Linked DNA regions of Schizosaccharomyces pombe. Changing the gene in region 1 together with any one later gene gives a genetic interaction. Each region holds a gene or a part of one and is shown in the gene's direction. Other genes may lie near its edges.

Evidence for each region.
Region 2: mutations in cip2 (region 1) and sey1 together harm fitness more than expected from each alone (negative genetic interaction), as found in Schizosaccharomyces pombe (one large-scale study listed by BioGRID).

What each region holds. Positions count from the first base shown.
Region 1 is NC_003424.3:341,588-347,009, reverse strand, and holds cip2 (RNA-binding protein Cip2), read left to right. Parts: upstream 1-1,838; 5' UTR 1,839-1,880; coding exon 1,881-3,611; 3' UTR 3,612-4,920; downstream 4,921-5,422. Other genes in the region: efg1 (rRNA-processing protein), read left to right, coding at 392-466, 571-703, 766-896, 959-1,171; protein Mcp60, read left to right, coding at 5,155-5,422. UniProt on the Schizosaccharomyces pombe protein: Regulates global gene expression after oxidative stress. Interacts and stabilizes mRNAs and may regulate their transition between different cytoplasmic components after oxidative stress.
Region 2 is NC_003424.3:973,150-978,820, reverse strand, and holds sey1 (GTP-binding protein Sey1), read left to right. Parts: upstream 1-2,082; 5' UTR 2,083-2,087; coding exon 2,088-2,244; exon of another isoform or gene 2,245-2,286; intron 2,287-2,357; coding exon 2,358-2,432; intron 2,433-2,490; coding exon 2,491-2,576; intron 2,577-2,683; coding exon 2,684-4,654; 3' UTR 4,655-4,978; downstream 4,979-5,671. Other genes in the region: meu13 (homologous-pairing protein 2), read right to left, coding at 184-488, 632-772, 815-916, 964-1,017, 1,064-1,112; SPOM_SPAC222.13C (6-phosphofructo-2-kinase), read left to right, coding at 5,580-5,671.

The sequences.
Region 1 (5,422 bases):
AATTCAAAGGTTTTCTTTTTGCTATTGATGATTCTCTTAACAATAGTAGTATTAAAATACAGACCGGTTGCTAGATTAACTATCTTTTGCATACTTTTTAATCTCTAGGGTGACTTCGGTGTCGAACAAGCGATTCTTTGATGTACTGTTGAAAGTCTAAGCTTTTAAATCACTCCACAAGTACAACATATAAATCTACCTTGAATAAGTGTGAGTGAATCAAATATTTTAATCATAATTACCAGCTTAAACTTATATATAAAAGTAACGTGTCACTTGAGAACCTAGCAGCTGTAAAAATTGCAGTCCTTTAAGTTTACTACTGTTCTTCACCAGAACTAATTGTTTATGGTTTGAATTTCTATTTATCTATTTTATTGAGCGTTTTAGCATGCCAAAATTTAAGGGCCCTGGACTTTCTGTGCTGAAGAAAAAAATTCGCGACAATGAGAGATTATTGAAAAAGGTGTGTAATTTTTTTGCTGGTTTAAAAACATCTGCGGTTTCAGTGTGTAATAAATATTACCTTCCTTTTTATGTTAATGAATAAGAAAACTAACTTCCTTTAAGGAGAATTTGCCTGCAAACATTCGTGTTGAACATGAACGAGCTCTTTTGGGTCTACAAGAGCAGTTGTCTATGGCACAGTTAGAGCATAAAAAGCAAAAGATTTTTGAAAGATACAAAAAAGTTCGATTTTTTGGTATGAAACATATATAAAAACAGCATTTTTTGTTCAGTGAACTTGCTTACTGATTTTCTCAGAACGTAAAAAAGCAGAACGACGTATTAAACAATTGGAAAAATCTTTGAAGGATGAAACTATGGATGATGAGAAACGCAAGCAGTGTGAGAAATCGATGCGTAAATGTCAAATTGATCTTATGTATATTAAAGTATGTTTGTATTTTCGACTTCATTTCAACTATCAACTTGGCTAAGATACTAACCTATTTAGGAATACCCCCCTTTAACAAAGTATGTTTCACTCTACGCAGAAGGCACATCTGAACAGACCGAAGAAACTCGAAATCGCATTTGGGCCGAGATGGAAGAACGCTTTAATAGTGGCAGAAAACACAAAATACCATCTTCAGGTTCCAACAGGGTTCCTGTACAGGAAAAAAGTTCAACTGGTGGTGATTTGGAAGATGAATTTTTGCAAAGATAAATGAAAACTTGGATTGAGGTTTTGGAAATAAAGGGATTAAATAGACGAAACTGTAATAATATGATTCATTCTTTTTAATAAAGGTTGTGAAGTTTCCATATGAGTTATCGAGCAAGGTATTCTTTTTATGCAAGTTTATTTAAATTTTTTCTATGTCATATTGCAATGGGATTTGCTAGGGTACCAAAAATAGAACTTGTGGGAGAGAAGCTTTTGGATCCTAAGGTTCACTGAAGATATTTTTCACATATTTCATTCTATAATCTAATATGCTAAAATTCGAATGATATTTCATGGAATATCAAATTAATAAAAATATAAATTTACAAGAATTTAAGTAAAAACAAAAAATTAGGACTTTCATTTTGTTCTGTTTTAGGTGGTCGAATTATTAGACAGTTTAATAGTCTTTATCATTGCAGCAGTGTTTTTAAGAGCTCTTAGATGGACTTTCGGTTTTATCATCACAGTACCCTGTTATTTGCCTGGCAAAAAGTTACCTAGTGGGGGTTTAAAAATCAACACCAGTATGTAGTATATACATTTTATAATAATTATTTTTACATTTGCTTCTATAGATTGGTATATTTGAATTTATGGGTTTAAGACCTCAATAATATGGTGTAGTATATTGACTTTGCGCCCTTGGTGGTGTCCACGGATACCTAACCTCCGCACCACACGAAGTTACGACTTGTTTAGTGTCGATATGGCTGAGGGCACAAGCCAAAGGCCATTAACGCCTTTGTCGCAGGCATTTTTGTCAACTAATACTCTTTCTCCTGCTTCTTCCCCTTTAACTTTCCATTCTGAGGCTGCATCTCTGCGTAGAAAACGGTCCAACTTTTTCCCCAAATTAGATGAATTAAATGGAGCTCAAGATGAAGAAATGAGAGGTCTTAATATTCCTGGAGGATCAGGATATCTCGAGAACCGATATGGTCGTGATAAGTTTACGTTTTCTGATGCAGCCGTTAACAGTGCTGGAATGGGAGGGTCTGGCATATTTTCCCACAACAATGCAGATGATGGTTTGGGTGATGGTTCTTCTACGGTTTTACCAAGTTCCCTTAAACAAATGCTGGATCCTGAAATTTCAACTGCCAATAATCCATCTGCAAAGCCTCGTCGAACTCGTCTTCAAACTGCTTGGAAAGAAGCAACTAATTCAGCAGGCCTTTCTCTCCGGTCTGCAAGTGCTTTAGATGTACTCAAAAATTCTGGACCTGCTACTACCTCATTACTTTCCTCAACAACATACCCTTTTGATAGTTTAAATGCATTCAACGAACCATCCCATTCACATGTACCAAACTCAGCTTCTAGCACTGCTCTGTCTAGAGGTATGAGCAACTCTGTAACTTTGACGGCACCCCCTGAACCTGATGAAGAGACCATTCCTACCGCGATTGTTATTAAAAATATTCCATTCTCCTTGAAGAAAGAAGTGTTGTTTAAAGTGTTCACTGCATTAGACATCCCACGTCCATACGCTTTTAATTATCATTTTGATAACGGAGTTTTTAGGGGCCTTGCCTTTGCTAATTTCCATTCTCCAGAGGAAGCCAAAACGGTTGTGCAAGTTTTGAATGGCTATGAAATTACTGGTCGTCGTCTTCGTGTTGAATGGAAGCGTCAACTACCGCCTGCGGAGCGTGAACGTGTTGAGCGTGGTAAACAAGAGAAACGCGCTGTAGAAGAACGAAAAAATCAATTGAAATCTCCGTTTTCTGTTGCCAATATAGGTGCTGGCATTGATTTTGATTTGAATGATCCAGCTATACTCAATGTATATTCTCATATCTTGTTATTTTATTATCGCAGCGATAACACTAATGATCTTGTATTTGATTCTTCAACCACCCAGGAAGAACGTCGGGTTGCTGCCTTATTAGCTTCCCGTCTCAATCTCAATCATTCAGTTACTGGTGACGGTGAAGCTAAGCAAGTGGTTATTACCATGCCTAGTACTCATTTTACTCCCGCTAATAATTCGAGTGCTAACCACTCTCCTTTGATGGCCCCAAACGCCAGTACTTTAAATCCTTCTTCTTTAGGTGCTTCCAATTTGAGCCAACCAAGTCTTGCAAATCACTTGAGCTCCTCTGGTTTATTTGACAATGGTCTTTTCTCGTCCGGTGGTCTTTCTAGTAATTTTTCAAGTCTTAGACGACCCGCTCCCTCTATGCATCTTGCGGATAGCATACGTTCTCTCAGAGGACTAAATGATTCTAAAGCCTTTTCCGACATACGTAGTATGCCAGCTACTCCGTTAGAACTTGCTACTCCTTTTGCTAATTTAAATGTTTCCTCTCCACTGGATCGCAATGCGACTAATTCATCAAATACTTTAAACGGTAGTGCGATGAACGATTATTTTGCAAGCCTTACTCCATCAAACACCGGTGCTATTGGATCCAGAACTTTTACAAAGAATTAGTCTTGGATTTTTTGTTTTTCCCTGCTTTTGATTAATCTTGTTTTGGCTATGTCTCGGGTTTTATTAAGTTTCATTTACCTTACGATAATAAGCGCTTTCAAGCAAATTTATACTTTGTACATAAAAACGACGAGTGAAATTATCTCAATGAATTATCCATTTTTACGACCTAGTGTTCAATTGAGGACATGATTTTCATGCTTATATCGTTTACATACTCACTTCGGATGTGCATGTGATCGGGCTCATGCTTTTAAACTATAATGTGATTCTTGTAAAACGAAAAGGATTTAATTTAATAGATGATATTTTTCTCTCTTCAAAGTCACGTTTATGATTATTTTGAGAGGAATAAAATGGAATTTTCTTTTGTGAGATTTTTTTAAACTTTTGTATCGCAAATCCGGTTTGACGATTCGTATACTGGGATACGATGCTTGAGCTATACAGCAAAAGTCTCAAATAAAATTTACGATAACCGATCTTACGTGGGATGTTAATGGTGTTATTTGCAATAATTTGTTGTTTTGATTGTGTTTTGTTCTTATGTGTAGGACCTTTCGTTACTATCAATACCTTTTCAATTTCTATATCTCATATGTTTTGTACGGACCCAGCTTGTTCACGTTAGTGTCACTCGGTTTTTAACTATTACGAATGATGGCTTCATTTTAATGGCTGTTTGGCTAATTGTGCCTAAATTCTTTTCCGTGTTATTGATTTGATAATGTGTTAAAGAATTCAATTTCGATTATGAGAGTTCGGTTGTCATTTGTATGATTTTTTTCGTCAAGATATGATTGCACTATTTTTTTTTTGTTATTATTATTTTTTTTCGCACTGTTTTTAGTGGATACTTGATGATTTTGTCTAAACGTATCTCGTATCTGCTGTATCGTTTAGTATTACTTTTTAAATAAGTATAGAACATTTACGACTTTTTAATTTGATAAATTGAGTTGATCTTTCTTATTTGAATAATCACGAAGAAACGGCACATTGACCATAGTCGAGCACCGCATTTTTTTTAGAGGTTTTAATGACTGTAAATCGACTAAATGAAAACGCTCCCCGTTCTTGCTCTATATGTTTTAATTTTTTAGAAGCCGTTTAGCGATAAACAATGCAATACACTATTTTTCGATATTTTTCTTCAAGAAGCTACCAAACCTATTCTTAAAATTTGGTCGCTTTTCTATTGGCTATTTGCCGGCATGTCAATCTTTATCCCATCAAAGTTCTTTCTAGAATATCAGGCAGTCACAGTATATATAATGTCTATTATAGCTAACTTATCGTCTGCCTAGCCTTGTTTGGAATTTCATTAAGCGGAAAATAGTGAAGAGTATTTCACGTATTTTAAAACCAATAATATATCTAAAAGCTGCAAGCATTTATTTTTGCAGGGACAGCTAGCTGGTTATATTCCTAACGTGTGGGTTGTATTTGCGTTAGATAACTTTACATTTCTTTATATCTCTTTTTGGGTGCATTAAAAAAAACCATTTTTTACAACTTCATTTTATTTCATTAATTAAACATAATGGTGAGCTTCCTTTCTTCCAGTGTATCTCGTCTACCTTTAAGAATTGCTGGTCGTCGAATCCCCGGCAGATTTGCCGTCCCTCAAGTTCGTACATATGCTAAAGACTTAAAATTTGGTGTTGATGCTCGCGCATCTTTACTCACCGGTGTCGATACTCTTGCTCGTGCCGTATCTGTAACTTTGGGACCAAAGGGCCGTAATGTCTTGATTGACCAACCTTTTGGTTCCCCTAAAATCACTAAGGACGGTGTAACTGTCGCCCGTA
Region 2 (5,671 bases), 630 kb from region 1:
CTAGTCATAACCACACAGTATAGCAAGAGGACAGGTAATGTTGTGCAGCAATGCAAGCACATATTAGAGCAGTTGTCTGCTAAGGTATTTATATTTAACTATGGATAATGACTTTTCTTTGAGCTATATAAATTTAATGATTAAAATGTTAAAAAGGGATCAGCTAAATTTAAAGTTAAGTTTTTAGTTTAAGTCAATTGGTCCCTCCGTTTCAAATCCCAGTTTTTCCCATAACTGCTTAGGGTTTTCCAAGGAATCAGTAATTAAATGCCATAAATCATAAAACATTTTCTTTCTGTTTGAGAATCCTTTTTTTGCAAAATCGTAGTTTTTATCAGTCTTTTGCATTGCTTCCTTGGAAATTTGTTTAACGGTACCATTTCGAAGAGATTCGAGTTTTGAGCTGGTTTCTTCAATTTCTTTATCAATGCTCTGAATTTTTTCACGAATTTCGGCTGGACTGAGTGAGTTATTTAAAGCTTGTAATTCTTTTAGAGTTAGCATAAAACAAGTGCTGTGTACGCTCAAAACAAATGAACGATACCATCAATAAAACTTTGATCTGTTTTAAATCATGCATATTATGTGAAGTATCATTCTACATTTTAAAGAATAGCATTTATTTACTGACCAATGCATTTCTCTTTGTATAGAGTTTTAACAACTGAAACCTCATCTTTTAGTTCTTGAATTTGCTTCTCCATTTCAGCCAATTCTTCAGGAGTAGCAGCTGCCAAGTCATCTTGAAGACAAACGAACACACTTTGTTTTCCTCAGTAATCGTTAGTAATCTGTTTAACTAATTTTTCAGTACCATATAGTTTCCCATGGATTAGTCCAGTGTCGCGTAGCTGCTCCAATGCTTTCTGCGCGACCTGTTTACTGACAACATTTTTCAAATTAGCACTAACGTCAGCTTTTAACAAAATTGTCAGCTTCGATTTTTTTAATGTATGTTCTTACTTGCAGAATAGGGACGATTCGTTTTTCGTAAATACTCGTAAACAAGTTTTTCAGCTGCGATTGATTAGCTGAATACCAATGCCTTTTGTCAATATTATACCTTCCTCTCCTTTAATAGGTTTCGCTTTTACTTCTTTCGCCTTAGCCATTTGCTACAATTGCGATGTGTGAGGAAAATAGTAAAAGCGCGATGTAGCATCAAACATTTATATATAATATTTACGCGTGGCGGAGACAACGCGTTTTCCCCAAGCCATTCTCCTTTGTTCTTAGCTAAACTAAGGAAGAAAATCCATGAGAAAGGATTTTAACTATTTTACGCACCTATATAAAGTACTCATAACGATGGGTTGAATTGCGCATCGTGTCAATGAAAGAAGGTTGCATAGGATAGTGAGACATTAGTACAAAGAATTCGATTCCTAAAGCTATGCTAGAAATTTTATTAAATTAAATAATTTCCAACCTTGCGAAGGGCTATATTATAGTATGTTTGTACTTTTTTAGCATATTCGGCAACGTCAAAAACACTTCACAAATTGAATGAAACCGATATCGTCGAATACTACGAAGCGCTTTTGAGAAACGTTTAAGCTACACTCTTGATTTTGCATCTAATACCTATTATTAAGTACTGTTCTCTGTAAACATACAAATCTGTTTCCTTTTTAGAAAAGCACAAATTTCCTGTCTGTAAATGCGATAAGTCTTTGAAGACCATTGTGAAAAGATTCAAAACAATGGCCGAATGACTCTTTAAAATACATTCCTTTCTTCAACTAAATCCTTGGTATTTTCTTTCTTTAAAAATCATAATTTTAACAAGAAAATATATGGAGCTAACAGACAAACATCTGAACATTCGCAGAGTAACTTAGTAAACATTAGAAAGGAAGAGCTAACGAGTGTTGTTATGCCATTGCTAGTTTACTATAGGAAAAGTATCATCTGTTTCATGATATTTATATAAACAAAATTATGCAAAACCTGTCTTTTTACAATAATTTAACTTAAATAGTTATATATTTGTTAATGAATACTGAAAATGTTGTCAGGATATATTACATCCTCGACATCACACTACCTTATATGTTTGTTAACTTGTCTTCCGCTTACACCAAAACATGAGTACTGCTTCCAATAGGGTTTCCACACAAATTGTGGATGAACATAAACAATTCAACAATGAATTACCAAAGTTTATGCAAAGCGTAGGACTGTTAGATGCTGGTTTCAACTATCATGTTGTTGCCGTTTTGGGTTCCCAATCTACTGGCAAGAGTAAGTAGATTAAAATCAACTTGAGAGTTCTATATCCAACCAATGTTATAACATCCTTTTAAATTGGATACTTAAAGCTTTCACTGAGCAAATTTGATTAACTCTATGATTAGGTACATTGCTAAATAATTTATTTGGGACTTCATTTTCAGTAATGGATGCTTCCAAAAGGCAACAAACTACTAAAGGTAAATCTATTATTTCTTTTTAATTAAAACATCTGAGCTTGCTGCTAATTTTTGTTAGGTATTTGGTTGTCGAAGGCAAACAATTCGCCTATTCTTGTAATGGATGTAGAAGGCACCGATGGTAGAGAGCGCGGTGAAGATCAGGTAAGATTTTAATGCGAACTAATTTGTTACTATTAGTTACACATTAGTATTTCCTTTACTCATAATTGATCAATATTTTCTTTTGGAGTCATTACTAACCAACCTAGGATTTTGAAAGAAAATCAGCTTTATTTTCCATTTCAACTAGTGAAGTAATTATCGTTAATATGTGGGAAAATCAGGTTGGTCTATACCAAGGCTCAAACATGGCATTACTTAAAACAGTACTAGAAGTCAATTTACAACTTTTTCATAACAAAAAAGAAAGGTGCTTGCTTCAATTTGTTATTCGGGATTTTTTGGGAAATACTTCAATGGAAAATTTAGCAGATACTATTATGACCGATTTGAATAACATTTGGGCATCCCTTTCGAAACCAGAAGGATTCGAAAATTCCGTAATTAATGACTTTTTTGATGTTGGCTTCACTGGTTTACCACATAAGATTTTATGTTCTGATGCTTTCAGTGAAGCTGTTGATAGTTTGCGTGAAAGATTTGTGGATAACAATAATTCTGATTACATATTTAATGTGAGTTATCATAAAAAAATCCCCGCTGATGGTTTTTCTCTTTATACTCGTGAGATATGGGACACCATTGAAAACAACAAGGACCTTGATTTACCTACACAACAGCAATTGCTTGCTCAATATCGTTGCGATGAGATTATTACTGAAGTAATGGAACCTTTTTCTACTGCTTGTACTATTTTACAAAAAGAGTTTTTACCCGGTAATTTATGCAAGGACCTTCCTACCAAGCTCTTAAACATGTTTGAAACTGTTATCGAAGCTTATGATCGACAGGCTAGTAGATACAACGTGCATATCTATCAAAAGAAAAAGCAGGAGCTTATTGCTTCGGTAGATTCTCATCTTTATGTATTTTTCCAAGCCCAGTTGAACGCTCTACACAAGGAGCTTATTAAATCATTTTTTGACGCCTCAAATGAATTTCCCTCTGATACGCCTTTTAAAGAATCATCTTCTATTAAAATTAACGAACTTGTCAACAAAATGCGTGAGGAAGGTGAATCTTTGTCTTTACCACATGTTCACTGGGATGTTGATCCATTTATTCTAAAATTATCGGAAGAGTTAACCCAAAATTCCGAAACGCTTTGTAAGGAAAAGTTGAAAGAGAAGTTGGAAGAGTTGTTTACTGGGTTCGAGTTTGAAGTTTCGGAAGCTGTTGAGGTCGCTTTCCAAAAACTTTCTCATAACGTTTGGGATACGCTTCTCAATGAATTCTTAGCTGCTCAAAATACTACTATTGAAAAAATAAAAAATATTGTTCCTTTTTATGTGGATATTGATGATACTAAAACAACGGAAGAATATATTATCAATTTTAAAAAGAACAGTTGGCTGTTTTTTAGAAAGAAAATTGATTCTGAAATGAGCGAGGTTTTACTACAGCAGCGTTTACGAGTTTATTTTGAAGAACTATTTCGATATGACAGTGATGGGATGCCAAAATTGTGGAAGAAGTCGGGAACGATTGACCGTGATTATCGGGAAAGTTTAACCAAAACGTTAGACTTGATCAACGTTTTGGCCTCTATTAAAGTTTCGGATGGCAATTATCCGGACTTGAACGTTGACATAAAGACTTTGGAGCCAGAGTATACCTCGCCAGCTTCATTTTTTACTATTCTAAATCGTAGACGTGTGTCCGACATATCTGTTAATTTCAAGAGATCTGCGGATTTGATATTTATGGACTGCAAACGTTCCGTAATCAATACAACCACCAGAATCCCCCCATACTTTTGGGTATTGCTAATAGTCCTTGGTTGGAATGAATTTATGGCTATTCTCCGCAATCCATTCGTTTTTATGATCCTTATGTTTGGAGGTACTGTGGTTTATGGTTTATATATTTCTGGCTTAATTTGGCCTGCGAAGATGGTTTTGGAACGGGCCACTAACAATCTGGTTGATTTAGCTACAGATAGATTTTCTAATACTTATCAAGAGCAAGTTCAACAAAGAGCTATGCAGAGGACCGAGAAAAGCGGTTCACCAGTTGCATCAGCCGATGACGCCGAAGCAGAAAAAACTGCGCTTTCATGATTCGTCTGCTATAAAGAATAACGAAATTGTGGCATTTAAAATTCACCTGTATAAATCGCTCACTGGATTTTTTTATTAAGTTACTGTCTGATTGATAGACTAATGTTTGAGCAATGATGAACCTATTAACCTGATATTTTACTATTGCTTCCTTTTCAGTTGCTGTAAAAAGTCACTGTCCTGGAACAATTGTATCGTTTATTTCAGTTCTAGGTAGCCTTACCACTTTGGTGTATGCTCAATCTCTATACTTAATGAAAAATGGTTTTACAGCTTGATCATGTACATATCCTGAATAATCTTAGTAATGTATAGTAACACATAATTGGTTTTATTGCAATTTCCATTGCTGCAATAAATGCATTGTTATTCTTCAACCTATACCAAGCATTTGAATTTTATAATTTAACTGCATTTTTTAGGCAATCGTTTACAGTGAAAAAATCTGCAGTTACGATAGTGCATGTAATGAGACTGTTTAAGAATGATTTTTTTTCGAAGATAGCATTTATTAGTGAATAAAGTTGGCCGAAGATATACTGAATGTCTGTACAAGAAAACCAAGTCGAATTTCTAGAACACAGTCAACTATGAATTAGTTTCAACCATATCAGCAACCATGAATTGTGATGTTGGTGTTAGAAATTTTCTGTAAGGACTTCATTCTGACGATGATTTCATTCTCGTCAGATCAATGTACCACCACGCCTAGAAGTGAGTGTGTATTTGCTAGGTTACTTGAATTTAAAGGAAACTATTAGCATTGAAGAATTGAATAGTCATTATCATTAGTCAACCCTTTTGAGTTAACAGTCAATAAGAAGGATTGGGAATTCACCATTCATTTTGGCTCTGCCAATTTTCGTTCAGTCATAAAACTCATCTAGAGAAATTTCTGCAAAGATTAAACGTGAGATTCTTTGCAATGTCTAATACAGGTTCCGCCCGTACTGAGGAATTTACCAAAGGAACTGGTTATGAGGCTACTAAACCCAACAACGATACTGACGATGATGC